Linked DNA regions of Coturnix japonica. The protein of the gene in region 1 binds, or shares a complex with, the protein of each later gene. Links are inferred from orthologs where the notes say so. Each region holds a gene or a part of one and is shown in the gene's direction. Other genes may lie near its edges.

What was found.
Region 2: the proteins of TUBGCP6 (region 1) and TUBGCP4 are in contact, whole or in part, in a cryo-EM structure (PDB 7QJE), measured with the Homo sapiens proteins. The link is inferred for Coturnix japonica from reciprocal best matches to the Homo sapiens genes TUBGCP6 and TUBGCP4. Residues at the interface, in NP_065194.3 of Homo sapiens: Leu312, Thr313, Ala315, Gly316, Arg317, Ala319, Phe320, Phe323, Leu326, His327, Glu349, Pro390, Glu391, Ser392, Ser395, Leu396, Glu399, Tyr403, Ser455, Leu456, Leu457, Thr458, Gly460, Phe461, Lys464, Lys465, Arg468, Arg471, Tyr472, Glu475; in NP_001273343.1 of Homo sapiens: Met1, Ile2, His3, Glu4, Leu6, Leu7, Ser10, Gly11, Tyr12, Pro13, Gly14, Ser15, Ile16, Gln29, Phe31, Pro32, Phe33, Leu34, His35, Pro36, Glu38, Thr56, Ile59, Glu60, Thr63, Val66, Gln67, Gln68, Ile84, Arg87.
Region 3: TUBGCP6 (region 1) and NME7 share a complex: the UniProt entries of both Homo sapiens proteins name them as parts of the gamma-tubulin ring complex. The link is inferred for Coturnix japonica from reciprocal best matches to the Homo sapiens genes TUBGCP6 and NME7.
Region 4: the proteins of TUBGCP6 (region 1) and MZT1 are in contact, whole or in part, in a crystal structure (PDB 6M33), measured with the Homo sapiens proteins. The link is inferred for Coturnix japonica from reciprocal best matches to the Homo sapiens genes TUBGCP6 and MZT1. Residues at the interface, in NP_065194.3 of Homo sapiens: Met1, Ala2, Ile4, Leu7, Phe8, Asp10, Leu11, Cys12, Ala14, Leu15, Pro17, Ala33, Leu37, Val40, Ala41, Ala44, Leu45, Asn48, Ile70, Leu73, Lys85, Arg88, Leu89, Leu92, Val93, Glu95, Leu96, Leu104, Leu105, Ser109; in NP_001065243.1 of Homo sapiens: Asn17, Ala20, Val21, Thr24, Val27, Leu28, Glu30, Ile31, Ser32, Ile34, Leu35, Asn36, Thr37, Leu39, Glu42, Thr43, Leu44, Ile46, Cys47, Arg49, Leu50, Cys51, Glu52, Gln53, Ile55, Asn56, Pro57, Glu58, Ala59, Leu60.
Region 5: the proteins of TUBGCP6 (region 1) and TUBGCP5 are in contact, whole or in part, in a cryo-EM structure (PDB 7QJE), measured with the Homo sapiens proteins. The link is inferred for Coturnix japonica from reciprocal best matches to the Homo sapiens genes TUBGCP6 and TUBGCP5. Residues at the interface, in NP_065194.3 of Homo sapiens: Glu290, Ala291, Ser292, Lys293, Arg294, Arg295, Cys296, Trp297, Glu298, Arg299, Val300, Gly301, Cys302, Pro303, Pro304, His306, Arg307, Glu308, Glu309, Pro310, Tyr311, Leu312, Glu314, Lys322, Arg325, Leu326; in NP_443135.3 of Homo sapiens: Asp211, Asp212, Arg213, Trp215, Leu216, His219, Val220, Val221, His222, Trp225, Ser230, Phe232, Pro233, His234, Leu238, His239, Ser240, Asn241, Leu242, Leu264, Val265, Thr266, Glu267, Thr268, Gln269, Arg272, Val302, Thr303, His304, Leu305.
Region 6: the proteins of TUBGCP6 (region 1) and TUBGCP3 are in contact, whole or in part, in a cryo-EM structure (PDB 6X0U), measured with the Homo sapiens proteins. The link is inferred for Coturnix japonica from reciprocal best matches to the Homo sapiens genes TUBGCP6 and TUBGCP3. Residues at the interface, in NP_065194.3 of Homo sapiens: Pro65, Arg67, Asn68, Leu71, Met72, Ser74, Phe75, Asp76, Arg78, Asp87, Glu90, Asp151; in NP_006313.1 of Homo sapiens: Pro9, Asn10, Val11, Leu13, Gln14, Glu25, Ala26, Ala29, Gln30, Phe32, Gln33, Val36, Arg37, Ile39, Gly40, Ser41, Phe43, Thr129.

Annotation. Positions count from the first base shown.
Region 1 is NC_029516.1:18,133,238-18,137,593, reverse strand, and holds part of TUBGCP6 (gamma-tubulin complex component 6), read left to right. Parts: intron 1-1,153; coding exon 1,154-1,317; intron 1,318-1,882; coding exon 1,883-2,093; intron 2,094-2,574; coding exon 2,575-2,748; intron 2,749-3,818; coding exon 3,819-3,940; intron 3,941-4,262; coding exon 4,263-4,338; intron 4,339-4,356. UniProt on the Homo sapiens protein: Component of the gamma-tubulin ring complex (gTuRC) which mediates microtubule nucleation.
Region 2 is NC_029525.1:18,427,290-18,432,405, reverse strand, and holds the start of TUBGCP4 (gamma-tubulin complex component 4), read left to right. Parts: upstream 1-2,041; 5' UTR 2,042-2,098; coding exon 2,099-2,176; intron 2,177-2,246; coding exon 2,247-2,375; intron 2,376-2,837; coding exon 2,838-2,960; intron 2,961-3,427; coding exon 3,428-3,481; intron 3,482-3,907; coding exon 3,908-3,964; intron 3,965-4,475; coding exon 4,476-4,555; intron 4,556-4,987; coding exon 4,988-5,116. UniProt on the Homo sapiens protein: Component of the gamma-tubulin ring complex (gTuRC) which mediates microtubule nucleation.
Region 3 is NC_029516.1:74,983,592-74,987,947, forward strand, and holds part of NME7 (nucleoside diphosphate kinase 7), read left to right. Parts: intron 1-2,055; coding exon 2,056-2,106; intron 2,107-2,636; coding exon 2,637-2,844; intron 2,845-4,356. UniProt on the Homo sapiens protein: Possesses an intrinsic kinase activity. Displays 3'-5' exonuclease activity with a preference for single-stranded DNA. Does not seem to have nucleoside diphosphate kinase activity.
Region 4 is NC_029516.1:140,208,508-140,213,364, forward strand, and holds the start of MZT1 (mitotic-spindle organizing protein 1), read left to right. Parts: upstream 1-1,684; 5' UTR 1,685-1,785; coding exon 1,786-1,834; intron 1,835-2,012; coding exon 2,013-2,158; intron 2,159-3,189; coding exon 3,190-3,213; 3' UTR 3,214-4,857. Other genes in the region: BORA (protein aurora borealis), read right to left, coding at 42-148, 846-1,001. UniProt on the Homo sapiens protein: Required for the recruitment and the assembly of the gamma-tubulin ring complex (gTuRC) at the centrosome.
Region 5 is NC_029516.1:117,432,215-117,437,370, forward strand, and holds the start of TUBGCP5 (gamma-tubulin complex component 5), read left to right. Parts: upstream 1-1,775; coding exon 1,776-2,101; intron 2,102-5,156. Other genes in the region: CHST7 (carbohydrate sulfotransferase 7), read right to left, coding at 380-1,777. UniProt on the Homo sapiens protein: Component of the gamma-tubulin ring complex (gTuRC) which mediates microtubule nucleation.
Region 6 is NC_029516.1:124,270,915-124,275,270, forward strand, and holds part of TUBGCP3 (gamma-tubulin complex component 3), read left to right. Parts: intron 1-97; coding exon 98-287; intron 288-1,487; coding exon 1,488-1,623; intron 1,624-2,413; coding exon 2,414-2,482; intron 2,483-3,679; coding exon 3,680-3,815; intron 3,816-4,356. UniProt on the Homo sapiens protein: Component of the gamma-tubulin ring complex (gTuRC) which mediates microtubule nucleation.

The DNA of each region.
Region 1 (4,356 bases):
GCCTGTAGGCTGTGAGCAGTTAAGCCATCAGCTATATATGTGCCTTTTCCACCCCAGTAATCTTTTGCTTGCATTTTTTTTGCCTGCTTTGTGTATTGAACTTCTTTGCATTGTTGGTTGTTTGTTACCGTTCCTGACTGCATAAGCTTTCCTGCCAGAGTGTGCATGATTTGCTCTTCAGATTACGTGACCCAACGTGTATTTTCCTTGTGACTTTTGTATCTTGAGCCATTTTTTTCAACTATTATATTTCATCAAACCTCCTGTGTCCTGCTGTCCTTTTACCTTTGCAGTGTAGTTTATACTGCATCTTCTACTGTCCAATATATTCATTTTTGCTACATAGTATTCTTATAGAGGTACTAGATAAATGCACCTGTGGTTTTTTTTCTTTCTATCTTTCCATTTGTTACTGTTGGAAAGTTTTTTACTCCCTTTTTTTTTACTCCTCCTCTGTTCTCTCTACTTACCATACGGATACCTCTTGCAATTCCTTAACTCAGCGTCCTAACTGAAACTGGCGTTCAGACATTAAAAAAGCCCTGTGCGTGTACAGATGTAAGTCTTAACTGTGAGGAGGCAAATGTTCCTTGCTAGGTGCTGTACTCTCCATCAGACTGGGATTTGAGATTTGTTGAAGAACATGCTGTGTTTTTTGTGTGGATATCATAATCTTATTAAGCCTGGGTGCCGTTCTTCATGTACAACTCCTGAGATCAGAGTGTGGCACACGCAGTGCCTGGACACTTACGGGTTTTCTGCATCTGAATAAGCATCAGAGAACAAAGTGTTAACAACATTTGTACAAATTGTAAGAGTTATCATTAATAATCTGCTTAAAAGACTTTCTGAGCAGTGCCATTTTATTCTTCTTAGAACTGCATGCATACAGAGGAGTAAGTTTCAGTTTTAACATTAAGAAACTTAGTGTTATTATTTCAGCGGTGATTGATTGTTGTTTTATATTTAGGCATTGGTGCCTTTGAAAATGGAACAAGTGAAGGAACATTTAAAGGAGAAACTTAGAGATGAAAGGAGTGGGCACTGGCTGAGTCGTATTGAGTCACTTGATCACAAATAATAGCAAAATCTTTATCAGCATATGTTTCTCTAGTAATGTTTTCATACGTAAAGCTTGAACTCTCTCTGACAGGTTCCTCAAAGCATAGACCAGTCAGAAGATGAAGGATTCCAGTCGGCATCCAATCTGACTCCTGATTCTCAGTCAGAGCCAAGCATGACTCCAGACATAGATCTGTGGGATGCAGTGCTTACATATGGGCCAAGCAAAAGAAGATGCTGGGAAAGAATTGGATAGTATGTATCTGATGTTATTGGCAAACTTCCTGTGCTTCACATGTGAATGTATGAAGGTGCAATTCATCTTAGTTCTGAATGACCTCAGTATAGGAGTTAAATATGCAATAGGAATATGCAGTATTCCTATTTAATGCATATTTAATATGTAGAATTCAATATATGTATTAATGATTGAGATCATGCCATTTCAGCGAACCAGCCTTTAGATTGCATCTGTTTCATGGGAAGAAAAAATTATCTTAGACCTAAAAACTGAAGGAGTTATGGCAACACTTTCTGATCATGTGAAATGCAACATTGCATACACAATGCAATTTATTTCAACCTAACATGATTTCATCTTTTCAGATTCAGAAGAGAAATTGCTAGAAGAATTAAACCCTTAAAAGTCAAATGCAGACCATATACCTGAAGCTTTCCTGTAAGAAATACTGCTAGAACTGTGAAGAGTTTGGAAGAGTTGGATGGGAAATTTGTTTTGGAGGGGATGGTAATCCCTGCTAGGAAGCGGTAGATCTATTTCTCACATAATCACCTTCCAATATTTTGTTTACTCTGGCAGCCCACCTGGTAAGAAGGAGGAGCCGTACCTTACTGAGGCTGGGAGAGAAGCTTTTGACAAGTTCTACAAGCTCCGAGAGGGGGAAATGCAGCTTTTCAGTAGTACCGTACTTCAGCTTCCACAGCTTGTGCTGATGAGGGAACCTGAACTGGTGAAGGATGTCTTGAATGTCCTCATTGGTGTGGTATCCACTACATTTTCACTCAACCAGGTATGAAATGTATTTAACTGCAATTCTCAGTTGCATTTGCTTTTTCTTTTTTTTCTTAGATACCTCCTTTTCAATACATGATTTATTTTGAGATCTCACAGTTGTGTTAAGAGGATAAGTGTGACTTAATTGCGATAACGTCACATCTGTACATTGTAATAACGACTTATAGGCAGGGAACAAGTATTTGTCAAAATAATTAGCAAAAATGAGCTAATTACAGAAAACAGAAGTTTGAATAATGTTGTAGGCTGGGTTTTCATGAAAAATTGTTATAATTAATCTTTTTTGACATACTTGAAAATGCACTTTTGAAGTTTTGCTACAATTTAATACTCTTATTATATTTTCCTACATATATAGTATGATTTACCAGAGTACCTATGCTGAAGATTTGTCTCTAAACGTTTGCTGTTTTAAATCAGAATGCAGCTGGGTAATATTTGAAGCCTATTTGCTTTCCTCTCCTGTTTCATTTTAGGCTGCTCAAACATTTATAATAAAGGAGGGGGTTTATGTGTCTGGAACTTCGCCGGAGACGATGCACAACCTGCTCTCAGAAGTTGCGGAATATGGAACCTACTACACACGGCTGAGTCGCTTCTCCCTTCAGCCAGTCTTAGATTCTTCGTACAGCAAAGGGCTTGTGTTTCAGGTAGCACCATTGTGTCAAATCACTTACGTTTGATGGGCCAGTTATTTTAGGCAGAGAACACAACTTTGATTTCATATAAGGCTGGAATTTCTTCCTTCTGCAGAACTGCGAAGTATTTTCAATACAAATATGTGTATTTATGTATCCTGGGTCAGCAAGGGACAGTGACACCGTGGAGCCCTGTTTAAATTGGAGCTGTGGTTGCTTAGGGTTTGTCTGCCCCAAAGCAACAAATGAAAGCTCTTCATTACTTGAACTGTGATTTGTTGTGTGGTTTTGTTGAGATCTAAAGGGGCAGAATTTAGAAGCATTTATATGTTAAAATGTATAACATTTATATATATATAACATGTATATATAAAATATAATACCTTTCTTAATACGGTATGCATATAAATAACATTGCATACATTACATTGATACTAAAATAGAGAAACATGCTATTTAATAGCTTTAATAACTTTTCTTAGATCAGAATTAAGCGCACATTTTACTTGTCAACCCTCTTTATATTTTTCTGAACTGTGTGTAGCTGCATGATACCAGGTACATTTCTCTTTCTAATGCATATAGTTCTTTTAGGATTAGTTATGAAAATATATGCCTCCTGAATATTTCATTTACAGTTACGTCAATAGAAATTGAACAGAAAAGTCTTATTTAATTCTAAGTCATGCTGGAAAAAGTAGATGTTTTTATAGGAGCTTTTTCCACTGCATAATTTAGGAATGGAAGTAAGGAAACAGGTTTCCCTGGGTTCATAATGAAGCTGCTAGAAAATCAGAATGCCTTCAAAAGGGCAGTTCAAGGAAGGTGAACCAAAATGCTCATTGTGTGCCTGGGTGCAGGCTTTGTGCATAGCATGTAGGAAGAGTATAAAGGAGTCATTTGGTTAATTGTATGCCTGAAGTTATGTGGACTCTTACTTTCCTACACGAGCCCCTCTTACTTTTACATGCAGATTATTTTATTAAAGGCTCATTTTCATGCCGGTTCAACTGATGTGAGATATAAGTAACTATTAACAGCTTTACCAGTAAGGCTTTGTAAATATTTTCTGTTGACAATAGGCTTTCACAAGTGGTCTGAGGAAGTATCTTCAGTATTACCGAGCCTGTGTTTTGTCTACTCCTCCTACTTTAAGTCTTCTGACCATCAGCTTTCTCTTCAGGAAACTGGGCCGTCAGTTGAGGTAAGAGAATAACATTAAATATTTAAGCTTTCCATAAAACACAAACTACAGTCTGTTTTTTTCCTTTACAAAACAGGAGAGTATTAGGCAGCCATTCTTACATAATTTTTCGGTATTCTTCCAGCAATTTCACATCAAGATTTCTTTATGTTCCCTTGGAAAAACATGTAAAGTCTTTACATTCAGTTACTTCGTTATCCTTGTTGCTATTCAGATAATACCGTAGGGTTGTGTGAATTTCAGCTATAGCAAAGTCCAGTTCACTGTGATTTCAGAGACTTCTGTCTGAAATTCTTACATATGATTTAATACTGTTTTTTAGATATCTGGCTGAACTCTGTGGCATAGGAACAACAGCCCTGGGGATCAGTGGCGGAGCTGGTGCTTCATTTCCTACGGTGATAACAGATTTTCTG
Region 2 (5,116 bases), on another chromosome or scaffold:
TTTGCTGTGCATCCAAGCCTGGAGAACGTTCAGAGTGTTACAGTTAACACAGAACGTCAAACCGACCGGCCATTATTCAGAGAAAAGGAAAGCTGGCATAATACAAAGTCGTATGCAGATAAGGCTTTGAGAATACACAGGCTCAGCACCAAAGGATTGAAAGATGGAAACGTATCATTATTACAAAGACCAGCTTTACTAAGCAGATGGACAGATCGCTGTGCACCTTGCAAATACACAAACCTGAGTACATTTCTCCTCTAAAATATGTATGTATATAGAGATTGATAGATATGTAAGTACACCAAAACGCAGCGGTATCGATCAGAACTACTGAATGATTTTCACGTGAAGAGGAGCTACTTACATTATGACTTCACAGCTGACAAAAGAGGTACCCAGAGAAAAAAGGGGAGAAAACGAGACTGAAGAAAAGATTTCTTCATGTCTATTCATAACATAATAAATAGGGAGGTAAAAATTAAGGAAACATTAAAACTCAGCAGTGTTAAACCAGATAGAATCACACAAATTCAGATGCTGGTCAAAGGAAGCTGAATGCTCAGGAGCTGAATGCTCAGGAGCACTGCTGAGCAGAAGGGATCTTCTCCTCCTGTGTATTCTCTGCTGCCCAGTGCTCTCAGCTGAACAGCAGCACACGAGGTGCCCGGGCCTTGATGCAGTTAACCTGGGTTTATTAAGAATACACATAACAACCCTGAGGAAAAACACATTTTCCCATTTAGTCAGAACTAAATAGGAAGAGTTACGGAACTCATTTATCCAAGATGTTTAAGCCTTATCCGCTGTGTCAGCAACAGGGTTTAGTTCCCTATTCAATTTTGCTGTCTTTCACTACATTCTATTCTATAGGCCCTTGATGCCCTGTAGAAATTGAGATGGAATTACCCTGGTTGAATAAGTCCATATATTCTACACACACATACACAAGTAATATATGTAAACACTTTTATATAAATATATATAAACGCAATTATTGCATACACATATAGTTGCAAAACATATTTCTATATCCAACAGCTGCCTGGGACACCGAGCTGTGTGCACGCTGTCTGCAGGACTCTCCATGAAAACCTGAGAAGAAGCAACAGAAAAGGAGGAGCCCAAATCCTGACCGGTCCCGTTACAGTCACAACCTGTGCACGGCAGAGCCACAGGCTGCCAGAACAGCAGGTGAGCACTTACTCTTTGGAGGCAAACAAGCAATCTCACCACTCAGAGCTACAGTATCTTACCTAACACCATCCAACAGATGGGTAACACTCACCAACAAGGAATTCCAACAGCACGTCGCTATTTAAGTGGGTTTGATTCACTGCCAACATTTGGGTGACTTTGCTTTCCCAAACATCAGCCTCCTCCCACCTGCAGCGCTGACAAACAGCTGCTCCTTCTGCTTCACAAACTCCACATCCTGCCCTGGTGGAAAGGAAGGCACCTGGAACCCTCACCTTTGTGTGTGAAGGAATGCCACTAAAAGCTTCATTTTGGTTACAAAAGACCGGTACGTTTACATTCAAAATGTCTCCGACAGGTTAAATACATTATATAGACATTTACACAAATAAGAGCACCAGCAGGGGAAGGATGGAATCGGGCCGAGCCCCGCCGTCCGCTCCCACCCACTCGAGGGCCCGGCTGGCGGCTCCTCAGGGCTGTTCTGGGCCCGTCCTGCCCCAGCCCCGCTGAGACCCGCCCCGCTCTCCCCCAGCCCCGCTCGCCCATAACCCCTCTCTCCCATAGCCCCGCTCTCCCATAGGCCCGCTCTCCCATAGGCCCGCTCTCCCATAGCCCCGCTCTCCCATAGCCCCGCTCTCCCATAGCCCCTCTCTCCCATAGCCCCTCTCTCCCATAGCCCCGCTCTCCCCCAGCCCCGCTCTCCCCCAGCCCCGCTCTCCCCCAGCCCCGCTCTCCCATAACCCCTCTCTCTGCTGCGCCCGCTGAGACCCGCCCCGCTCGGCGGCCTCGCGCACCCGATTCCCGCCGGCTGCAGAGCCGCCCCCGCCGCTCGCGGGGCATCGCGCAGGCGCGCCCTTCCCGGCGGCCGTTGCGCTGCGCGGCGCTGCCCGGCGGCGCGATGATCCACGAGCTGCTGCTGGCGCTCAGCGGGTTCCCGGGCGCGGTCTTCACCTGGAGCAAGCGCGGCGGGCTGCAGGTGCGGCCCCTCCGCTCCCCTCTTCTCGCCTTTCGCTTCTTCGCTCCTTCACCGCTCCCTTTTCTCGCAGGTGTCTCAGGAATTGCCTTTCCTGCACCCCAGCGAGACCAGCGTCCTGAACCGCCTCTGCCGCCTCGGTACCGACTACATCCGCTTCGTCGAATTCGTGGAGCAGTACACGGGACACGTCCAGCAGCAGGTCGGGCACTGTCGGTGCAGCGCTGCGCCAGCACAAACTCACTGTCCTGAGCAGGGATCTGTCAGGTTCTGTGTGGTGTAAATGAGCGAGGGTGCACAACTGCCTGTGTTGAAAGACATGATGGAGTGCGGAAATCTCATTCCTAGGGGAAGGGAACGTCATGTGGTAATTTCTGGTCCCCGCGGTTCAGCAGGAGATGGTGAAGTGCCCAGGGACTCAGGAGGCATTCGTTCATAAACACAGCAGTGCTGCAGCACGCACAGGCTGCTGACCGTTCCTGACTCCTGCAATCATCCACAGAAGAGCTAAACAGCTCCGTTCGTTTTGTTTTCTTGGTCGTTTTATGGTTGTTGAAGGTGCATTTCAGAGCGTTGTGACCATTGGCTGCTGATGTAGTGTTGCAGGAAGCTCCATTACTCATCAGACCTGTGCTGAGGGCCTGCTTTTATTGTTCTGTTTCAGGACCATCACCTATCTCAGCAAAACCAGAGTGGATTGCATGGCATTTATTTGCGAGCATTCTGCACAGGCCTAGATTCAGTGCTGCAGCCGTATCGACAGGCACTGCTTGACCTGGAACAAGAGGTAAAGGAGAGAGACTTAGGGCAAGAGGCTGTTTGCCGCTGGCACATTGTGGAAGCTTGTCATTTCTGCCGTTACTGTACTGATAAGTGGTAGTAGTTAAAGAGACAACAAGATAGTTTCCTTTCCACTTTGGGAATGGCTTTCAAATTACTCCTGTGAGATGCTATTGTAAATGACTGTTTATTTAATAAGCTGTCATTCCCTTCCACATACAATTCAATAAGTGCCCCATCAGCCTCAGCCTGGTGCTGTTTCTCACTACCATGACTTCAGTTTTCAGTTGCAGAGGTTCTGATAAAGTCCTCGGGACTTAGCAGATGTTCTGTCTTAGGTACTGTCATCATCCAGTGGTTTCATTAAAAGTTACATATGGGACATAGCGTGATACGAAACATAGAGCCAAACTTGCCTTTTTACTTATCTATGCCATTTTCTAATTTTCATTAATTGCTTTGTTGTCCTTACAGTTTCTGGCTGACCCACATCTTTCCATCTCACATGTTAATTATTCCTTGGACCAGGTAATGCTGATGAACCTGTTCATGCTAATGGTTACTCTTATCATTTTGTAACACATCTAATGAGAATGTGAATGGTGTAAACAAGGTTTAGTCTTTCATCTTACGTCATTTCTCCTCAACATCTCCAAATTTATAGTCCTGTAATCATACTTAGAGGGTCACTTGCACTTTGACACAACACATGGGTCCTCCTCCTTTACCCTGGCATAGTTCTCTCAACTTCTGTTTATTCTGAACTGCAGCTGGAATACAGTGTTTGAATAACCCTTGGTCCAGGTGAGGATGGACATTGTTTCCAGTGATTTTTCAGGTCACTGACTAGTTTCCAGCTAGAGTGGAAAGCATACTAACAGCTTGCTTAAACTACTGTAATTACCTGTTGTCCACACTTACTTAAGAGTAACAGTTCTCTCCCTTGTGCTGCAGTTTCAGTTACTCTTCCCATCTGTGATGGTTGTGGTGGAACAGATCAAAACTCAGAAGGTATGGTAAAATTTTAGCTAGTCTCTCTTAGCAAGTTTCCTCTATAGCTGATAAAGTATTTTGTGCCTTTATCCCAGAACTGAATGCTAGGAAAGAATCTGGTTTCAGTTAGTGTAAGTATTGAATGCTTTACAGATCTCTTTACACTCAGTTTGACTATTTCCTCATTATTAGCAAGATGCATTTTGTAATCACAACATGCTTCAAACTACAAGATGCTGCTAGTTGGAATTTCTTCTTTTCTGATTCTATTTTCTTCTATTCTTGAATTAAAAAAGGAAAAGGAGTAGCTAATGTTTCCAAAGTCCTTGGAGGTTTAGTTTTCATCTAGGGAAGCTTTTGAGAGACGCTTACATAGAAGACTTCTTTCTACACTACGCAGAGTATGTTTAATCTTTTTCTATCAGACTTCTGCGGTTCTTGTTAGCTGAAAATGTAGCATTTAAATCCTTGAAAAGGTCAGTACAGATCCAAGCAACAGTCCTAGTCTAACCACTTTTTCTTTCTGTAGATTCATGGATGTCAGATACTAGAAACTGTCCACAAACATAGCTGTGGGGGGTTGCCTCCTGTTCGCAGTGCTCTTGAAAAGTAGGTAGATGCAACAAAACTATTTTGTTTGTACTTAACACCTGACAGTAGTATCGGAGTGTTTTCTTACTTGTGAAAGCAGATGATGCTGCTCGAATCAGACCTGCATGATTTAAAAGGGCAAACTGTCACAGTCTCCTTTATTTATCTAAAACAGATTCATGGCAGGAAGTAAAGCTTTCTCCATATTTTGTACTTTTGAGGATCCCACTAGGGCATCTTTTAGGGCTGAAGTCTAAACAAAATGTCTTGGATACAGCAGACATTGTTGTTTTTATTCATCCTTTAGAAAATAAAATAAATTTCACTGTGTATCGATGTAATGTAAGTATCACATTGCCTGTCTGATGAGCTGGAGTTTCCAGAATGATGTACAATGAGGTTTTGATTACTGTGTGCGATGGACCCACTGTCTGTTTCTTTTGATTTCAGGATTCTGGCTGTGTGTCATGGAGTCATGTATAAGCAGCTCTCTGCCTGGATGCTGCATGGATTGCTACTAGACCAACATGAAGAGTTCTTTATCAAACAGGGCCCTTCTGAGAGTGTCTCTGGCCAACC
Region 3 (4,356 bases), about 57 Mb from region 1:
TACAAATGAAGAAAAAGAGATGTGAAAAGTTGCATTACAGATGACAGTTACTGCGACTTGGCTCAGACTTGCAGCCTGTTACTTGAAATATATTGAGGTAATTTCTTTCAGAAAGGGGAGCTGCTTGAAGTGAGCAAAATCATGGAGACCATTAAATTTCAGGAGATTGTTTCCAAATGGGAATCTTTAAGTCTCTGTGCATCTCTGCTTTGATTATGAGCTTTGTACGCGGACTGGGAGGTCAGCAGTATTACTTGCTTTCAGCTGCCTGTCCATCTGAAGAGCTTATCCTTCTCCTCAAATTACAGCATCAGAATATGCTACGCACAAGGATTTGGAGCAAGCCAAGACCAAACCTGCACTTCTGAACTGGAATTTTGAAGTTGCAGTTGGAAGATAACAGCTAAACTTGAAAACTCTCATAGATTCTTCTAGCTGTTTTCATGTAGAAAAAAACAGTGAAGGCAGCAAGAGTTTGCACGAGGTGTGGTTTGAGAAAAAGGAGGGAGGAGAGTGGGCTGTCTAGCACAGGAAGTGGGAAGGTGAAAAGCCAAAGTGATGTTTCACAGGTGGATGGAACGTGGGCCTGTACTGCAGACCCTGAAACTGAGCACTAACTAGCAGCATGGCTGTGGCGATGTAAAGCTTGGAGAGGGCCATCATCCTGTGTTAATGATGAATATTCTGGCATTTAGCCTGCAGCATCAGCTGTGCTGTCTCTGTACTTAGGTACTGTGACTAAATAACAGCTGCAGTATGGATACTTTGTGTGCTTGCTGGCCTTTGTTTACCTGACAAGATACAGAGCCCTCCTCATTATGGAAATCCCTTGCTATGAGAGAAGGCAATGCTAGTAACTGGAGTTCTCCCTGAGGGAAGTGCATGACAATACTCAGTTATCAAAGGGAAAAGAGTATGAGAAAGCATGTTTTAATCTAGAGGGGTTGTGCTGCCTATTTGAATTGTAACATTTGTGGATACTGAGTAGAAACCAGATTATGCAATATGCTGTTGTTAACTGTCATCAAACACTAGCTCCAATAAGGAAATAAGTTTCAATGAAGCAGATAAATTGTTTATTTATGCTTTAAAACCAGATTTCGTTACCCAACATACACACTCAAGCTGAACTGCAAGATCAAAGCAATGTAACAGTGAACAGCTTGTCAAGTGGCTGTTTCTGCTGTTTGTTTCCCAACCTGAGAATGTGGAGCCCATCAGTGACCTTGAAAATCTTAGTTACAGGTTGCAGTGATAACTTCCTTCCCAGATCAGGACTGTGAAGAGGAGTCGATTATACCTCTGACCATGCTCAGTATGACAAAGTTAAATGTAAGAGTGCTGCTCCAAAAGTAATGCCTCCTGTGATATTGTGTGAGATGGTGGTGGAGGCTGAACCTTCACAGCAGTATTCCCTCACATGCTGTTTCCACGTGGCAGATGGCAGAAGAGGGGCAGTCTGACAAAGTGGCATCTGACATGGGAATGCAGATGAAGCAAAGGTGTGTCATATTGAATTCCTCCATGCAGGAAAAAATAGCACCCAGAGACATTCACTGATGCTTACTGAGTGTTTCTGGGAACCAAACAGCAGATGTGGGCCAAGTAAGATGGCAGGTGGTTACATTTCAACACTGGTGACAACAATAGTGGGTCACTTCCACTGGTGCAGTTTTGGATGGGAGTGGCATGCAGGGTCTGGTTTATCACTGGTGAAAATGCACAGCTAGTGGAAGTAACTGTTAAAAAGCAGAGAAGATTCTCAGGTACAAATACTATCAAATAATGTTATTGTACTCTTTGTATCTATTGCAGTTTCTGTTGAAATAAATAGGAGGCATTACTTCTGGAGCAGTGTATGGGTATGAATTCTTTTACTGGGTATGAATGCCCCATACATTTTCCAACTTGGGAAGGCATTATGTGTAGAAAAATGTTGATGAATGATAGTTTGTGGTTCTCAGGGTTTATATATACGTGCGAGTGTGCGTGTATATATATATGCACATATAAATGCCTGTGCATATATAAAGCTGTGTCTGTTTACTCTTCCAGAAAAGAAGCAGCTGATTTCTACGTAGACCATCAATCAAGACCTTTTTATAAGTAGGTACATTGTTTTTTTAACTTGATGCATATATTTATTGTTCTGCAACAGCAACTGATTTATTGTGGGTCCAAACTCAAGCCCTTCAGTGAGACATAAGTACAGGCTATGTCTGACCATGATGGAGATCAGGAGATCTAGAACTCCATTTTCTTTGCTGAATAATTATGTTTGAATATGTTGATTTGCAAGCAAGAGTTTTGCCTGTGCTGTTATTTCACAGATGTCTGTCTACACAACTTGTAGTTATCTGTGGGACCTTAAGCTTTTGTCCATGCCTGCTTGGTCTTTCCTTCTAGAGTGTTATTCACTACATCTTCTATATAGGATTCTTCTCAAATTTAGAAACAATTATAAATCATTTCAAATCAATGAGAACAAAAGTTGTCCTCAGAGCAGAGCCTACAAAGTTAGGTTAGGTTGTTCATAGGCTTTGCTGAGTTGAGTTTTGAACATCTCTACTGGATTGCATATTTTCGTTGGCTTTAATTTACAGCCTGGATCACCATATGCTGTTTCCATTTTGCAGTGAGCTTCTCCAGTTTATAACAAGTGGTCCTGTTGTTGCTATGGAAATCTTACGGGATGATGCAATTTGTAAGTGGAAGACATTATTGGGGCCTGCAAATTCTGCAGTTGCTCGAACTGATGAACCGGAAAGCATCAGAGCAAACTTCGGACATGATGGCCTAAAAAATGCAGCTCATGGCCCAGATTCAGTAGCCTCAGCCGCTCGAGTAAGTTTTTGACTGTGTCACTTAACTAGTTTTCTTATTAATTTAATTCGATAACACTACTAGATCAGGAATTCCTCATTTCTTTTTTTCCCGTTTGAGTTCAGAATGAATAGGTATTCTATGTTGCTCCTTTTTAGCCTGCAAAAATAGACTGTCTGGAAACAGGAATCTTGTTTATCTTTGTCATAAACGGAAGTTTTGGATACTTTGATCAGGAGAACATGCCTAGTCTTCGAAAAACTCTGCTCCCATTATGCATAACAAATATTTATGAAGGCAGACCATTTTGTATTGCTTTGTGTTCTGAAAGGTAATACAGCAGGCCTGGCTTCTAGGAGTTCTCTTTTACTTTGTAGTCTGTATTTTCTTAGAGTGTTAAGAAAGCCCTAGGGCTGGGTGATTAAATATTACCAGCATTTCTATAGAACAGAGGTGTTTATGTTCACTGATGGGGGTAGATCTGCTGATAAGCAATGGCTAGAATAAAGTTTACCTAACAGTTGTTTGGTACTGCACTGTATTATCTTAGCTTTAGACTAGCAGGGAAAAGATAACTGTTGCCTTCTGGATCCCAGTCTTTTCCTCTTCTTACACTGGAACAGCTGCAGTAGCACAGCTTGAAAGAGACCAGTTCTGGGATAACTTATAAACTACCAGCTACTGTGTACTAGACGACGATGTGCTAGCAATCAGGGTAGAGTCAGCCCCTTGCTGCAGCTGCTGTGTCCTTGCTCAGCACTGTGAGGCCTGGGCATTGTTTAAGCACCATGCTCAGGTGTCTGAGTGGTACCTGGTCTACGGGCTTCTCTGCTTGACTGTAGTTTTAATAAGTTACTTTCCAGACATGGAATACTTCTTGTGGTGGCAAGTCTAGTGGAAGTGGTACCTATCTAGAAAGAGTTTGGATAAAGTTGAATTTTTATAAAGGAGAATTTCAGTCAGAAAAGTCTTTAATTCTGGCAGTTGACCAATGTCTTTGTGCTCAAATGGGGAGGTTTCTCTTCGTTTGTGTGCTGCAGTTACTGTTGTGCCAGCTTTTTGCCTGAGAGTGTAGGAGACAGTATCTATTAACGTAAGATTCTGACTATAAATTTAATTATTTGCTTTGGTTTAAGTTGGTAGCTCTTTTTACATTTCAGCAGTTTGAAGGCTCTGCTCATCTGTGGTATTTTTATGACCAACATTATTATATTGCTGAACTTTGGCAGATGTAGGCATCCTTGTGGTGTTACCAATACCCATCTCTGGTAAGATAACTGAAATTGTGAATTTAATAGGCCTCTACCTACTTTAATGTAGTAGGTGCAGAACTATATATTTGTATAGCAGCTGGAAACTAGTTGGTTGCAGTTAGAACAGGACATTGCAGTGACAAATGAAAGTAGGCCTCTGGTGTACTTCTAAGGTTATTTCTCTTTCTGCAGGACCATTTTTAATTTTTTTTTTTTCATATTAGGCATAAATAAAAAATACTTTCTTTTTAAAACATCACTTGAATTTTGTTTAGCATTT
Region 4 (4,857 bases), about 120 Mb from region 1:
TTCAAGCTAAATCAACAGCATAAAGACAGATGGTAAGTTACCTAGCGTGACTCAAATACATTGCTTGGCGTCGGATATCTTCTGAGTCAATTTCCACAGGATTTATTAGAGCAAGCTGATCAATAGACCACCTAAATTTTCCTGGTGTCTGAAAAAAAAAGAAATAGTCACGTGAATACTTGCTGGTCTGATAATGTTTTTTTAAAAAAGGCAACTAATTCAGACTTTTTTTTTTGTCTTGATGGTGGAATTAAAATTAATTATGAGATAATATTAAGCAAAAGAGTACTACAAACAATTAATAACTGAAGTGTCATGTTATTCCCCCTCCATTTCTGAGAACAGGCCTACTACAGATCTGAAACATGGGATTAAGTTTAGTTGCTTCTCCATGGCCACAATGAAAACTGTGGCTCCCTGAAAGCACTTCAATAATCATCCAAGCCAGGATATCGAAATAATACAGCAACCTTCCTTTTACTTTACATTTCAAAGGAGACAGAGGACAGTCTAGAAGCAGGCCACAAAGGGCACTGTCAGGCATAGATCATAAGATCCAGTTTGGGAACAAAGCAGTCTCATCCATTGAAGTAGCACTTCAGTACAAAATAGTGAGCAAGTAGCACTTAGAAAAACGATCTAACAAAACACTGTCTTTTTAATCTCATTATCAAGGTGCGAAGACCAAATTACAGCGTTAGCATTAAAAGAAGCTTACTGAGGTAAATGAAAGAACCACAAAACACCCCAAGTTCTTTGGGTTTGCATACATTAAATCAAGTAAATACACTGTGTTACGTGTTTTTATGTGTCGGCACTACATAGAACAGAAAATGAGCTCTTACAGATGAAGATTTTGTTGATTTGAAGACGGAAGGACTGGAGACAATCTGCTCCTGAAGGGTGCAATAATCGCTGGGGCTTTCGAAAGGATTCAGAACTGTGACCCGCCCAGGAGTTTCGGGGCTGATCTGCATTTGGGCTTCTTCTGTATCGCCCATAGCAGTGAAGCTGTGCCTGGGGAAGAGAAACAGAAGGAAATGTGAGGGGAGGAAATTACCATTCTGACTCGTTAGGGTCATTCTAAGAATTTCAACCCATGACCGGTCATTCAGAAGAGACAGAAAACTCATAACGGCAAAGCAGATTTTGGCTTGGACCAGTGAGAAGCAGATAAACGAGGCTGGTACAAAGACGGAGCCTAGAAAGCAAAGCCAAAGGAAACGAGGTACTGGAAACCAGCATGGAGGAAACCAATCGCGTTCGTGCCAGGTGCTCCCGTACCGAACGGCGGGGCCTCAGAGGAGTTGTCAGCCCCACAGCGAGGCGGCTCCCCGCTCCTCACAGGCCGAGGAACGCACACAGCGAGCAGCAGAGGCCTAAAGCCACGTATTCACGGGACAGCTGTACCAAGGGCCGCCACCACGCCACCACCCCCCCACTCCTCAGGCCCAGCTACCGAAGCCCCGCTGCCGCGACGCGCACTCATACCCGACTCCAATTAAAACTGCCCGCCTCCGCCGAGCCGGGCGGCTCTTTAACCACCTCCCGCCCCTTCCCGAATTCTGCCCAATCAACGCGCGCCGCAGCCGCCGGCGAACCAATCGTAGGCTCCCCTCCGCTCACGAACGGGCCAATCGCATGCAGAGCCGCTGCACAAATTCGAACGTTAGCCCGCCCCCCACCTTCCTGCTGTGAGCGGGAGGTTCCGCTTGGGCCTGGTGCGGAGTCCCGGAATCACGTGAGGTTGGGGTCGCTCCTTCTGCTTCCGGGTGGGCGGTCGCCATGGCGAGCAATGCCGCCAGCCTCAACGCCGTGAGGGAGACGATGGACGGTACGAGGGAGGGGCGGGAGGGGCCAGTGGGGTTGGGGATGCGGCACTTGTTTGTAGATACATTGGTTTGCTTGAGGTTCCATAACTGCCACTTCCATGCTGTACAGTAGAAATTCAGCTTTGATTAATAACTTCTTTGATCGCTGTTGGGGCTAATTTGCTTTCTTTTTCCTTGCAGTTCTGTTTGAGATTTCAAGAATATTAAATACTGGGTTGGATATGGAGACCTTGTCTATTTGTGTGCGGCTTTGTGAGCAAGGCATCAACCCAGAAGCACTGTCTTCTGTCATTAAAGAACTGCGTAAGGCTACAGAAGCTCTAAAGGTAATGCCATTCCCTAAAAAGCACACGGTTTTAAAAGAATCAAATCTTTGGTTCAATTTGCTGTGCTTCTTTTCCTTTAAAATTAAGAAAAAAATCAACAAAACAGATTTCTCTTCTTGGTGCTTTCAGCCACTATTTCCCTTTATCTGCTTCATGTCCTGACTGGACTGTAGCTTTCTTCTTCAGCCCATATCAGCTCCTTATACACCCTCAGGCCTCATAGTATGTATCACAGAATTATCAAGGTTGGAAAAAGACCTAGAAGATCATCCAGTCCAACCATTACCAATACTTCCCAGCTAAATCATATTCATCAACACAACATCCAAATGTTTCTTGAACACTCCCATGGTTGGTGACTCCACCACCTCCCTGGCAGTGCATTCCAATGCCTGACTACCCTTTCTGTAGCAACACTTGTGAACAAGTTCATGAAGCTGTTGTGGCTAACAGTCTCCACACATTGCTGTCACCTCATTAACCTGTGCTTTACGTCTCTCCAAAGACAAATCACAGCATTTCATGGTGTGTGTGCATTGTAAGTACTAAAGTATAAAAAGCCACATGTAACTATTTGGTTAATAGGGAAAATAACTATAGTTAAAAAATTCTCATTTGCCCTTTAAAGGATTTTGATGCTTTGCTGTCTACCTAACCATCATGATTCCTTCTCCACTACATCTTATGTTGTTTATTTATCTGTTTTTGAAGGCTATGTTCTGATTCTTAAAGAACTCAGCTTTCAGATTTTACAATCAGACTTTTTTTTTGCATAATTTAAATTTTTATTTTATTTTTTTATAATTTCAAACTCTTCTATACTTGTGTGTATTTTTTATTTGTGTATGTGCTTAAATGTGTGTACACAAGCTTAATTGTGCATATACATTGTTGAGGGATGTTCTATTTCTTTTCTATTTTTTATGTCTTACTTGTGTTGCTTTCATTTCTCTTTTTATCTCATATCTGGGCTTCAAATCTACAACATAAATGATGTCTGCTTTTGGTGACAAATTTTTTTTTTTCCCTAGGCTGCTGAAAATATGACAAGCTGATGTGATAGAATCCTTCTTCATGAGAAGAGTTCGAAGTTGTAGAGCTGATAAAGAATTTGAACATTGGCTGCTACTTAGAAATACGAAGTCAAATTATATCTGGAGGTTTCAGAGTATCTCTAAGTCATCTTGAAAAAGGCAATGTATGGAAGAGCTTAAAGTTGGGTTTTCTTAAATAGGCCCACCAGTAATCTTACCACACTTGAATACTTGGTTATTTTTATGAACCAGGGGTGAATTTTAGTGTAACTGCCCTTCAGCATGTAGGATTTTTAAACAGTGTCAGAGATTGAAGGTTTGCTGAAATTACTAGTGTGTAACAGTGAATGTTATCACGAATATGGCTTGTTAACGCATTCTTTAGAAGTGCTATTGTGTTCTGTTTATTCCTGTTGTACTAGTGTGAAAATATGTGGATGCTTTTATCTGTGGTAAAGGTAGGAAAGAAGTCCCTATTGAGCTGATTTTAATTAGAGTACAGATGATGACTTAAATGACTTAAGTCATGTTCTGAAAGTAAGAAATAAAGCACTTTTGATTATCAAGATAATGACTTGTCCTTCTAATTCTGTTGGAAAAAGAGTTTTTAACTTGTTTTAGAAAGGAATTTGGATGTATGTAAATTTGACATGTAGATAACGTGGAATATCAAATGCTGTTTGCGTATGTTCTGAACACTCAACCTGAAAATATTAAGCATATATTGTTAATTACTAGTCAAAGCATCTTACAAGTAGGGGCTGATTTAGTTGTGTTAAACAGTCACTTGGTGTAGGGGAGTCTTCTCCTTCAGCACAAACAATATCCACTGATGCAAAAACAAATCTTTCTAGTGTATGCATTAAGCTACTGAACAAATTATCATTCAGTGAATCTTTTGCATCCAGGAGTTATGCTTCTTCATAGGAAGAAAATTTTCTTGTGTTTGTCCTCTGCTGCTGTTTTAGCTTTTCCAATTTTTTGTTAGACTGTTTTCTAAGTAGTGGTGTTAATAGAACCCAAAGCAGGCTGACAGGGGAAGCACACGTAATAAAGATTCAAGGTTCATCTTTTGTGCGGACGGAAAAGTTCTTTTGAGTTTACATCACACATTACTCTATCTGGGTCACAGCTTTAGAAAACATGATAAATATCTTTTATTTCCTATTACTCTGGCCAAGAAATCACTCCAGAAAGGTGTAGAATCTGTGTTAAAACTTCTGAATACTGTGTGTAATGTTTTCAAAAGTATTAAAGAATCTACTGTATGGAAAGATTGACAATAAATGTATCCTAGAAAAATGTGAGAAATCAGCAAAGACTGAAAATGTTAAAATACTTAAAACAAATAAGCAGTTGGTTATTTCACGTTTAACTGGACTCAGTGCTGCATGTCAAAACCAGAAAAGTATTCTTGCAGTGTTGACAGGTTGTCATTTGTTTCTGAAGAGAATTGCGGAACTAAAATTTAAACAGCAAATGTATCCTCAATGCTTCTGAAATTAGAGTGCTTGTGCATTGGCAGTGTATTTTTCAGTTCCCAGATGTTTAGGTAATATAGTAATTCTGATGGCTTCCCTTGCCACTCCTATTCATCACTTTACTGCTGAAAATACACAAATGTTTCTAACTTCTGTTACATTTATTGTGGTTTCAGTGTTGATT
Region 5 (5,156 bases), about 99 Mb from region 1:
GGCACAGCGTGGGCAGCCAGATCCCACAGGGAGCTCCCACAGATGCTTCCTTCACGCGTTGTAAGAGTGATACAACAGAACCAGATGTGTTTGATGCTCCGGTAGGGGTGATGCCTGCAGTCTCTGTTTTTATCAGTGATACAAGTTTTAAGTACTTACAACTGCTGGTACATCAGTTTCACGTCCATTAGGCCTTGGAGCTTGATGCCGTCCCACAAGGACGACGAAGGTGTCCCTACGAAACACCTCAGAACTCCTAGAAGAGCATCCCTGCTGTTCCCTCAACGCTTGGCGTCCATCCTTAACGCCCCTTCAGATCAGGTGCTCACATCTCGGCGCTCTCTTCGCCCCTCGCTGCCGTACGGTCCCCATCCATCCCCTACCGCCTCTCCCCGGCACTGAGCGGATAGGCGAGCAGGCTCATGGCCTCGCCGCACGCCGCCTCCACCTGCCGCACCTGCTGGCGGCTCAGCCTTTCCCTCCATGCGTGCACGGCCTCCCGAGCGTCGCGGGCGGAGATGAGGAAAGGTCGCTCGGAGGAGTAGGCGGCACCTCGGGTCATGTTGACTACGAACGCCTCCATGGCGGGCGGCACGGGCAGGCCGGCGAAGCGCAGCAGGCGGCGCAGCTGAGCTCGGGGCTCCCGCACCAGGTCCTCGTAGCGGAGCTGCGTGTAGCGGCGGCGCAGGGCGGCGGGGTTGCGGCGGGCCAGCAGCAGGTCTCGGAGCCACGCCTGGCAGATCACCTCCAGCGCTCCGCCGAGGAACAGCTCGGCGCGGTGCTGCGCGGGGGCCCGCCCGGCGCCCAGCAGCCCCAGGCCGGGCGGGAGCGGGGGCTGCTGCGGGCGGGGCGGCCCGCGGGGCTCGGCGGCGCGGTGCCGGCTGCGCAGCACCTGGATGCTCTCGCGGAGCAGCGCCTGCTTGGCCTTCAGGCGAGAGTTGTGGACGGCGCGGGGGTCGCGGAAGAGCTGCACCACGCGCAGGTTGAGGCCGGGCTCCCGCAGCAGCGGCAGCAGCGCGCCCAGCTCCAGCAGCCGCACGTCCTTGATGACCACCACCGGGTACTTGCGGCACTCGGCCTCCAGCTCCCGCAGCGCCCGCGGCGGGCAGCGCCTCTCGCAGGCGGCGCCGTCCACCAGGCCGATCTCCCGGCGGGGCAGCGGCGCGGCGGGGCAGAGCGGAGCCGAGCAGATGACCTTGTTGGTCCGCCAGCCGAAGATGCCGGCCGTGGTCAGGTTGGCGGCGGGCGGAGCGGCGCCCAGCGGGTCGCGGGGGGCGGCCGGGGCGGCGTAGAGGCGCAGCACGGAGAAGTCGCAGCGGAAGAGGGAGCGCAGCATGTCGCGCAGGGCGCCCTGCAGGCTCAGCGCGTCTCCGGGGTACAGCGCCTGCCACAGGTGCCACATGGGCTCGTAGAGGTAGAAGACGTCGGGGTGCTGGTTGAACAGCTCCCCCAGGAACGACGAGCCCGTGCGCCATGTGGCATGCAGGTAGATGTGCCGCTTGCCCGCCCCGCTGCCGTTCCCCGCCGCCGTCGCCTCCTCCTCCTCCTCCTCGTCGTCTCCGGGCGGCGGCGGGCGCTGCTCCCAGCCCCACTCGCTCAGCGCCTCCTCCAGGCTGGGGCAGCGCCGCAGCAGCGGCTCCTCGTCCGCTCTCGCCCGCCTGGCTCCGTAGTCCAGCACGTAGGGCACCAGCAGCAGCAGCAGCAGCGTGTAGAGCGCCAGCAGCAGCGCCAAGCGCCGGTGCTCCCCCCGCCAGCACCACCGCCGACGGCCCTTCATGGCGGGGGGCAGCGGCCCGACAGCGAGCGGCAGCCGCCGAACCGGCTCTCGGGGAAGGAGGCGAACGAACGCTGGGCGGCGGGGGGGTGGGCTCGGGGCGGCCCTCCCGCAGGGAGCACGCCCACGGGCAGCCCGGACACGGCCGCCGCCTCACGGCGCAGCGTGGAACCGCCGCACCTGCCCCCGCCGACACGCTGCCCCGACCTCGGGGCTGTGCCGAGCCGACGGGAGACTCCGCGTTGCTGCTTCTCCACCCCAACGCCCGCCCAGCACAGGGGGAGTGTCGGCCGGAGCCGAGGGGGCGGGCTGGGAACTGCGGGCTCCGTGAGCTGTCCGGAGAGAGAACGAGCCGCAGCGATGGGAAGAGTGAGAATGGCTGTTTAGAGGCGGCACTGAGTAAACGGCAGCTATTCCAGGCTGCTGTGGGTTTCAGAATCACAGAATCACAGAATGACCCGGGTTGGAAGGGACCTCAAGGATCATGTAGTTCCAACCCCCCTGCCTATCTGTCCCCCTCCTCTGCTTAACTACCTGGGGACACGGTTCTACCTCCTCATGCTCAGGGTGTCGCGTCTTTTAGGCTTCTAAGAGCAGATTAAATACATCTCTTCATCCGAGATGGGAGTCAATGAAAGGTTGACTTCGTGCATGCAGCTGGGGGTTGGAGCAGCTGATCTCCAGAGATGTTCTCCTTTCCAACCCCTGCAGTTCTGTGTTTGGAGTGCTTAAATTCCAACGCTCGGTATCAAAATGCACAGCACACCTGCAGGTGCTCACAGGTGGATCCCAATCCCGTGTTCCCATGCAGGGTCACCAACCAGCAGACCAGGCTGCCCAGAGCCACATCCAGCCTGGCCTTGAATGCCTCCAGGGATGGGGCATCCACAGCCTCCTTGGGCAGCCTGTTCCAGTGCATCAGTGCCCCTATGTTAAACTTCCTCCTAATATCTAACCCAAACCTGCCCTGTCTCAGTTTAAAACCATTCCCCCTTGTATTATCACTATCCACCCTCATTAACAGCCGTTCCCCCTCCTGTTTAAATGCTTCCTTCAAGTACTGGAAGGCCACAATGAGGTCTCTCTGGAGCCTTCTCTTCTCCAAGCTAAACAAATCCATTTCCCTCAACCTTTCTTCATAGGAGTGATGCTCCAGCCCTCTGTTCACCTTAGTGGCCCTCCTTACTTCAGATATATTGGGTAACATAAGAGGGATACAAAGTGATGCAGAAGAAAAAGCATGTGTCTGCCCTGCCCATGTGGGGAGCCAGCCGCCTGCCTGCTAACACTCTCTTTGACCTCTGCAAAACGAGTGTTTAAGACTCGGCTTCCTGCAGTTTATGGTGTGCTGAGTGAGGAGATGGAGACAACTCGACTCCTGGGTTCCAGAACAGAATAATGTACAAAAATCTGAAGGGAAATTCTGCCCCAACATATATTTCCCTATTTAGGTTCACTGTGGCTTTGGGCTTTTTAAATGGTGTTTAAAGGGAGGCGATCTTCCCCCATTAACCTTTTTTTTCCCCCTGTGATTCATAAAGACACTATTTAAATAGATGATCTTCATTTTCTTCCAAGAGCATGATAACTCGGTGTGTGAGAAAGGCAGACATTCTTTGTTCATACACGAAGCAGCCTGGCTGGCATCTGACTTCTGCCATTTCTTGGTGCAAATTCTCTGTTTCATGCTATCTTATAAAGAAAAAGAGGGACAAAATCGACACGTTCTGCATAGTTTAGTGTAGCAATATTTCCATTCTGGTTTCCAAGTTTGTCGCTGAAAGCACTGGCTGTTTTTAACCTGATATAGCATCGGCTTCCTGTGTATTATCTCTCTAACTTGATTTTTGCTCTTCCATCTCCCACAGCTCTTTCAGCTGACAAGAAAGCCTGTAAATGTTGGAACGCAGTGCTTCAGCCCCAGAATCATTTTTATCATCTCAGCAGAGGTTTTAAAATAGAACTAGTTCCCTCTGTATCTGTTCATTTTTTGGATCGTGCCTGCTCTTGTCATTTTCAAAGAGCACTTTGTGATCAAAAATAGGCTTGATTATCTGATAAAATTAAACGTGCTTTGCAAGAGGAGCATTGGCCTCACACATCCTGGCTGCTAATGAACACCGTGCTTGCAAACACTGTCATTACAGACTTCAGCCAAAAGGAAGCCCGTGGTTAATGACGGCTTTCAAAGCTTAAAGCAGCCAACAAGCTCGGACAACTTTTGTTTTGTGTAACTGTTTTTCACTTTTTTGGAGGTTCTTAGTCATCGGGGGTTTCAACACGTGAGGCAGTACGTGCTTTGCATACAGGACCGGTCCTAATAGGTCACAGTTAGGAAGGAGTGCGTTGAGAGTAGCAGGATGCCTGGTGCCATAGAACCAGGTGGGTAAGCACTTGGTTTGCTGCAGTAGCGGAATTTCCCTAAAGCAGAATAGAGGCAGAGCCTGCGGGAGGCCTGAAATACTGCAGGGCGTTGGGGAGACTGGGTGGAGAACTAGAAGAGATACTGAAAGTGGAAAGTGAGAGAAAAGGGGCAGTGGAAAGGTGAAGAGACTGTAGCAAAGGGCTACAGTATGGCGGAGAACCAGTAGAGTTATAAAGAGAGCTTTTAAAAAAGAAAAATGATGATTCCTTTTCTGACATCAACAATCTTGTGAGCTCCTCTTACTTCCTGTAAGAAAGGAAGGAAGATAATGTCCTCACTGAAAGTGATAGGAGATGGAAATACAACAAATACTAGGAAATACAACAAGGAAATGCAGGAGGCAGAAGGCAAAACAAAGTAAGATGTGTATTGGTGGAGGTTCAACAGGAAAGTCAAAGGAGGAACGTGTTTGGGGTCTCAGCACTAAAATGGATCTGATACCATAATTGATAATGGCAGAAACCAGAAATCTCTTTCTGTTTTCTCTCAGTGTTGCAGACACGCTGTTGCTGAATTAGAGATGCTGATGAAGAATAACAGCAAGTTTTTGCAGCTTGAGTTAAACCATTGTGTCTGTATAATTAGGGAACCAAATCTTGTACAGTTCAGTCAAGCAAAAAATTGAGACTATTTTTAACAGGGGATTTATTTTTTTTTCCCCAAAAAATTCCTCTGACAGCTACTGCTACAAAAAACGTGTAGGTCTTCTGTGCTTTGTAACTCAACACTTGCATGGACGGAGTATAACATATATCAGGCATTTGGTAACCGCACTTTGCGTAGTCAGAACTGAAGTGGCAGTAAGAAGTAAAGGTTGCAGTAGGTATTGGCACCTTGGCAGAAAACAACTGAGGAGGACACCATGCTTACAGTAATTTGCTCTGAAGGGTGGACTCCTTAAATTTGCCCAGGCCAGTTCTTCATGTGCAAACCTGAATTATCAGGCTCTATGCTGCT
Region 6 (4,356 bases), about 110 Mb from region 1:
AAATAGTAATTCCTCTGCATGTACATTTCAGTTTCAAAGCTTGTTTGCCTCATTTTTTGGAAAAATACAAATTTAATTCTAACTTATTGTTTTTTAGCTGCTGATTTGTTCACGGATCTAGAAAATGCATTCCAAGAGAAAATTGATGCGGCTTATTTTGAGACCAGCAAATACTTACTGGATGTTCTCAATAAGAAGTACAACTTACTGGAACATATGCAGGCCATGAGGCGTTACTTACTACTCGGTCAGGGAGACTTTATCAGACATTTAATGGATTTGCTCAAGTAAGAATAAGAAGGGTAATTATGGTGAATTTCTGATGCTCCCAAGTATGCATGATCAGTACTACTTTGCTGTCAGAAGATGGCGCTTTAATTATTACTCAAAGTTTTACCTGAACAACTTTGAAATCCTATTTTGACTTGAGTTTCCTTGACCGCGAGGGCTGAAATGTTGTTCTTTTTGGTAGGAAGTATATTCTATATTATTTCATAATGACTTGAAAAACTATATTAGTGTACCTTTACATCAAGCCTGTGAGAGGCTCAGAGATGTTTGTACTTTGCTTGTTCCTGTCAGCAAGTTTAAGTAGCAAAGTTCAGTTTCTGGAGCTCTTGACACCTCTAGTGAGTATTGCTCTGAGCATTAGTCTTCTATGTTTTGGATGCGTTTGGTCCAAAGCATCCTTAGTTCCTTTCTATTTTATTTAATTGATGCCTCACCAATCTCTGTTTTAAGCATTCAAGCATACCTTGAAGTTTAAGTTCATAAAGTGTTTTTGCAAGCTGGCTGCTTTTTCATGCTGGTGTTACTAATGAAACTTAGTCTACCAGAAATGTCCTTAACAAAGCTTTCCTTTGTTCTGAAAGGCAGGCTTTCTAATAAAGCTTCCATCAACTTCTTTGTACATAACCTTGCTTTTTTAAGTGGAAAATAGTGTGAAGCAGAACAACATTGGTGCATGGGAGTCAGTATAACGTTTGAGGCAGGAGTAGAGAGGGACTTTCCAGCACTGGTCACGAGGGAGAGGATTGCAAAGCTTGCATGTTGCTGTCCTTGGAAGGTTTCACAGGGGGAGTGGGTTTACATGTTTCTGTCAGCAGTTCTAAGCCCATGAGATGCCTATCAGTACGTGTATCAAAACTGTGAAACAGAATTAATGTTCTGACATGTTGATGAGTCAATCTGCCTATGCAGCTGAGTTTTCAGAACTGTTGTTATAGCAGTGCTAGTAACTTGAAACGACTGGCATTGAATCAGGATAATCTTACTCCTCATGCTGGTGTTCAGGTGTATAGCTGCACACATACAAACAGTTATAAATATTCTGTTGATTGATTTTCTTTGTGGTTAACATTGAAAGAGTAACATAAGAGGTTTCGAATTTTCAGGAAACTATTTCACTGCATTCTGCAGTTAGAACCAGTTGCTGCTACAGAATATCTAAGAAGTCTGCCATGGCTTTTCTGTTTCTTAACTTTCAGACCTGAGCTTGCACGACCAGCCACAACCTTGTACCAGCATAACCTAACAGGAATTCTTGAAACAGCAGTGAGGGCAACTAATGCACAGTTCGATAATCCTGAGATTCTCAAACGATTGGATGTACGACTTCTGGAGGTTTGTTGCACCATGGTGACTCTGACCTGAAACATAAGTGAATGAAAATACATTTAGTGTTTGTGTATACAGACATCTATGTAAAATAAAATTTTGATAAACACATATAGTAAATATTATTGTCCTCCCCTTTTTCCATTGAAGCCCACTTTGAAATATGTGAACCTCACTTGAGCCTTCTCTTCCCATCTCCTGCCCATTGTCTGTTTATATTTTGAATTGTGATTGCACAGCCATTTCACTGGCAAAATAAGGTCAAGTACTTGATGTAGATGGCCCTGATTTGGGGTTCTGCAAGCAGGTCTTGGAGTGGTCTTCTTTCTCACCAGTAGTCACTGGTGGTGAGGAAGAGTGGAGAAATGAAATTGCATCTCATGAAGGAGACCTCTACTAAGAAACTTGAGTTGATGAGGAAGTTCCAGCCAGAACTGGAGACAGTTCCCAGTGGTGGGAACTGTCTGAACTCAGGCAACTGAAGCAAGCCTGTTCGTTAGGCAAAGTCCTGCCTGAGAAGTCTCCCCTTCATTTATTTTACTAGTTTCAATGGAAAAAAAACCACTGGCAGCATGAACATCAGCAACTGGGTGAGGTGAATCCCACCATTGTGTAAAACATAAGTTAATTTTTGCTTAATCTACTACTCTTGACAATGAACTCCTATGTCATGTATTGTGGTCACTTGCTTTTTCATATTAGCTTTTCATATTTCATCATAAGAGAAGAAGAAGCAGCTCTTCTGCACTAGCATTCTCTGATTAGGCACTAAAGTTTACACATCTTTTCAATACAGGTATCTCCTGGGGACACTGGATGGGATGTCTTCAGTTTGGACTATCATGTTGACGGACCAATAGCAACGGTAATGTCATATACTGCTGGTTGTGAACATGTCTCAGATGCTGAGCTGGATTGCTAAACATTTTGTTATTGAAATAACCTTTTTACTCTGGAGTGTTTTATATCAGAAAGACTCCTATTTTTTTTATTTTTTTATTTTTTTTTTTCCCCTCAGCATCAGGGATGTATCCACTGTATAAACATCTGAGCCAAAACCTCAGTTCTTATAAATTAACAGGGAGTGCTGAAAAACCACGTTCAAAACATTAGTTACTGAAAATCAGTAGTTTATTTGTTCTAGCAGAGATTTTGACGGGTACTTAATAAATGGAGTGCTGCTCCTCTTAGACTATTGTTATGAGTCTGTAGCAGCTACTTTGAGGTAATTTGCCAGGAACTGGAGAATGTATCTGAGGAGAACTTATTTGTACTTACTAAATTAAATTTGATAGATAGTGTTCACAAGAACTACTGAGGAAATAATTCTCTTGATACAATCAGCAGCAGTATTGATCAGAATGCATTTAGTCTCTGTAAAAATGTTGTAACACTGAAATGTGAATGAACTGTTACATACATATGGAGTTTGAAGAGCAATCTTTGTCGTATTCACCCTTTCTTACACTTCTGTGCACATGAGATTGAAAGTGAAGAAAACCTCTCAAGAAGCAATTACAGGTTCAAGTTTTTTCAGTTGCCAATCTGGTAGAACAACAAATACATTTGTACAAGGAATTGGAACTGGCAAAAGCATTAGAGCAGTTCTAAGAATTACTTATGTTTATTTCAGTGTACTTAAATAGAAGACTCTTTTATGCAGAACAGATAAATTTTAATGCATTTCTGCTCCATTTTCCTTCAGTCTTCTTAAGAATGCAGTGTGGCAATACTGATAATGCAGGAATCTTTTTTGTGTTAAACTAGAATAAGCTTAAATGCAACAGTGCTGTAAGAAGACACAGCTGAAGTGTACTGTGGACCATACTCCAGAGTACTCAAACATAGAGTGCTGCAGCTCTGCTGTCAGCAGTGCTTGGTGCTTGAATGCTGGATAGCTCAGCTCAGTCCTTGAGGGAACATTTTCCTAAGAGCTGTTTTTGTTCTGCTGATGTTTAACAATAAACTGCGTGGGTCAGAGTAGATGAACTGTGAAGATGCTATTGGTTCTTCAGAACACGTGAGATCTATTGTTTGTACTGATATTTTGTTTGTTTTGTAGGTGTTTACACGTGAGTGCATGAGCCACTATTTAAGAGTATTTAATTTCCTTTGGAGAGCGAAGCGAATGGAGTACATTCTTACCGATATATGGAAAGGACACATGTGCAATGCAAAGCTTTTGAAAAGTATGCCAGGTGAGAGGTCTAAATGGATGAAATACTCGTAAACTGGGTTTAGATTACTGTAACTGATTTTAAAATGGACAAAAAATCAGTTGTGACAAGTGAAGTTTATATTTTCTTGCTGGTTTTGACTGATTGTTTAATGGTAGATAGTGAAGATGAAGTAGTTTTATTGTGTATGGAATTTTCCTGCTTGTTTAACCTAATCCTTGATTACAAGTTTTTGTAGCAATGAGGAAATGAAAAAAACCATGTCTCTGGAAAGTGACCGTTACTCTTTCATCTCCTTTTATTCATCTTCCTTGATGACTTTCCATATGTACCCTCTATTTCCTTTTGTCTTGTGCTGGGAGTACTAAGTCTTCCACATGCACACTTCCAAATTTACTAGTTTTACCATTATCTGTTTCTTTTTCTTTTGTTTAGCTAAGAACAGAAGAGACCAATAGTAGAGAAGCAACTGTTTGAGCAGAAACAGGAAAGCTCTTAAGTGTAGTGGCTCTGTATCCTTGGGAATTTTCGATTGTGTTTTTCTGTAGAGAATATAGAATTA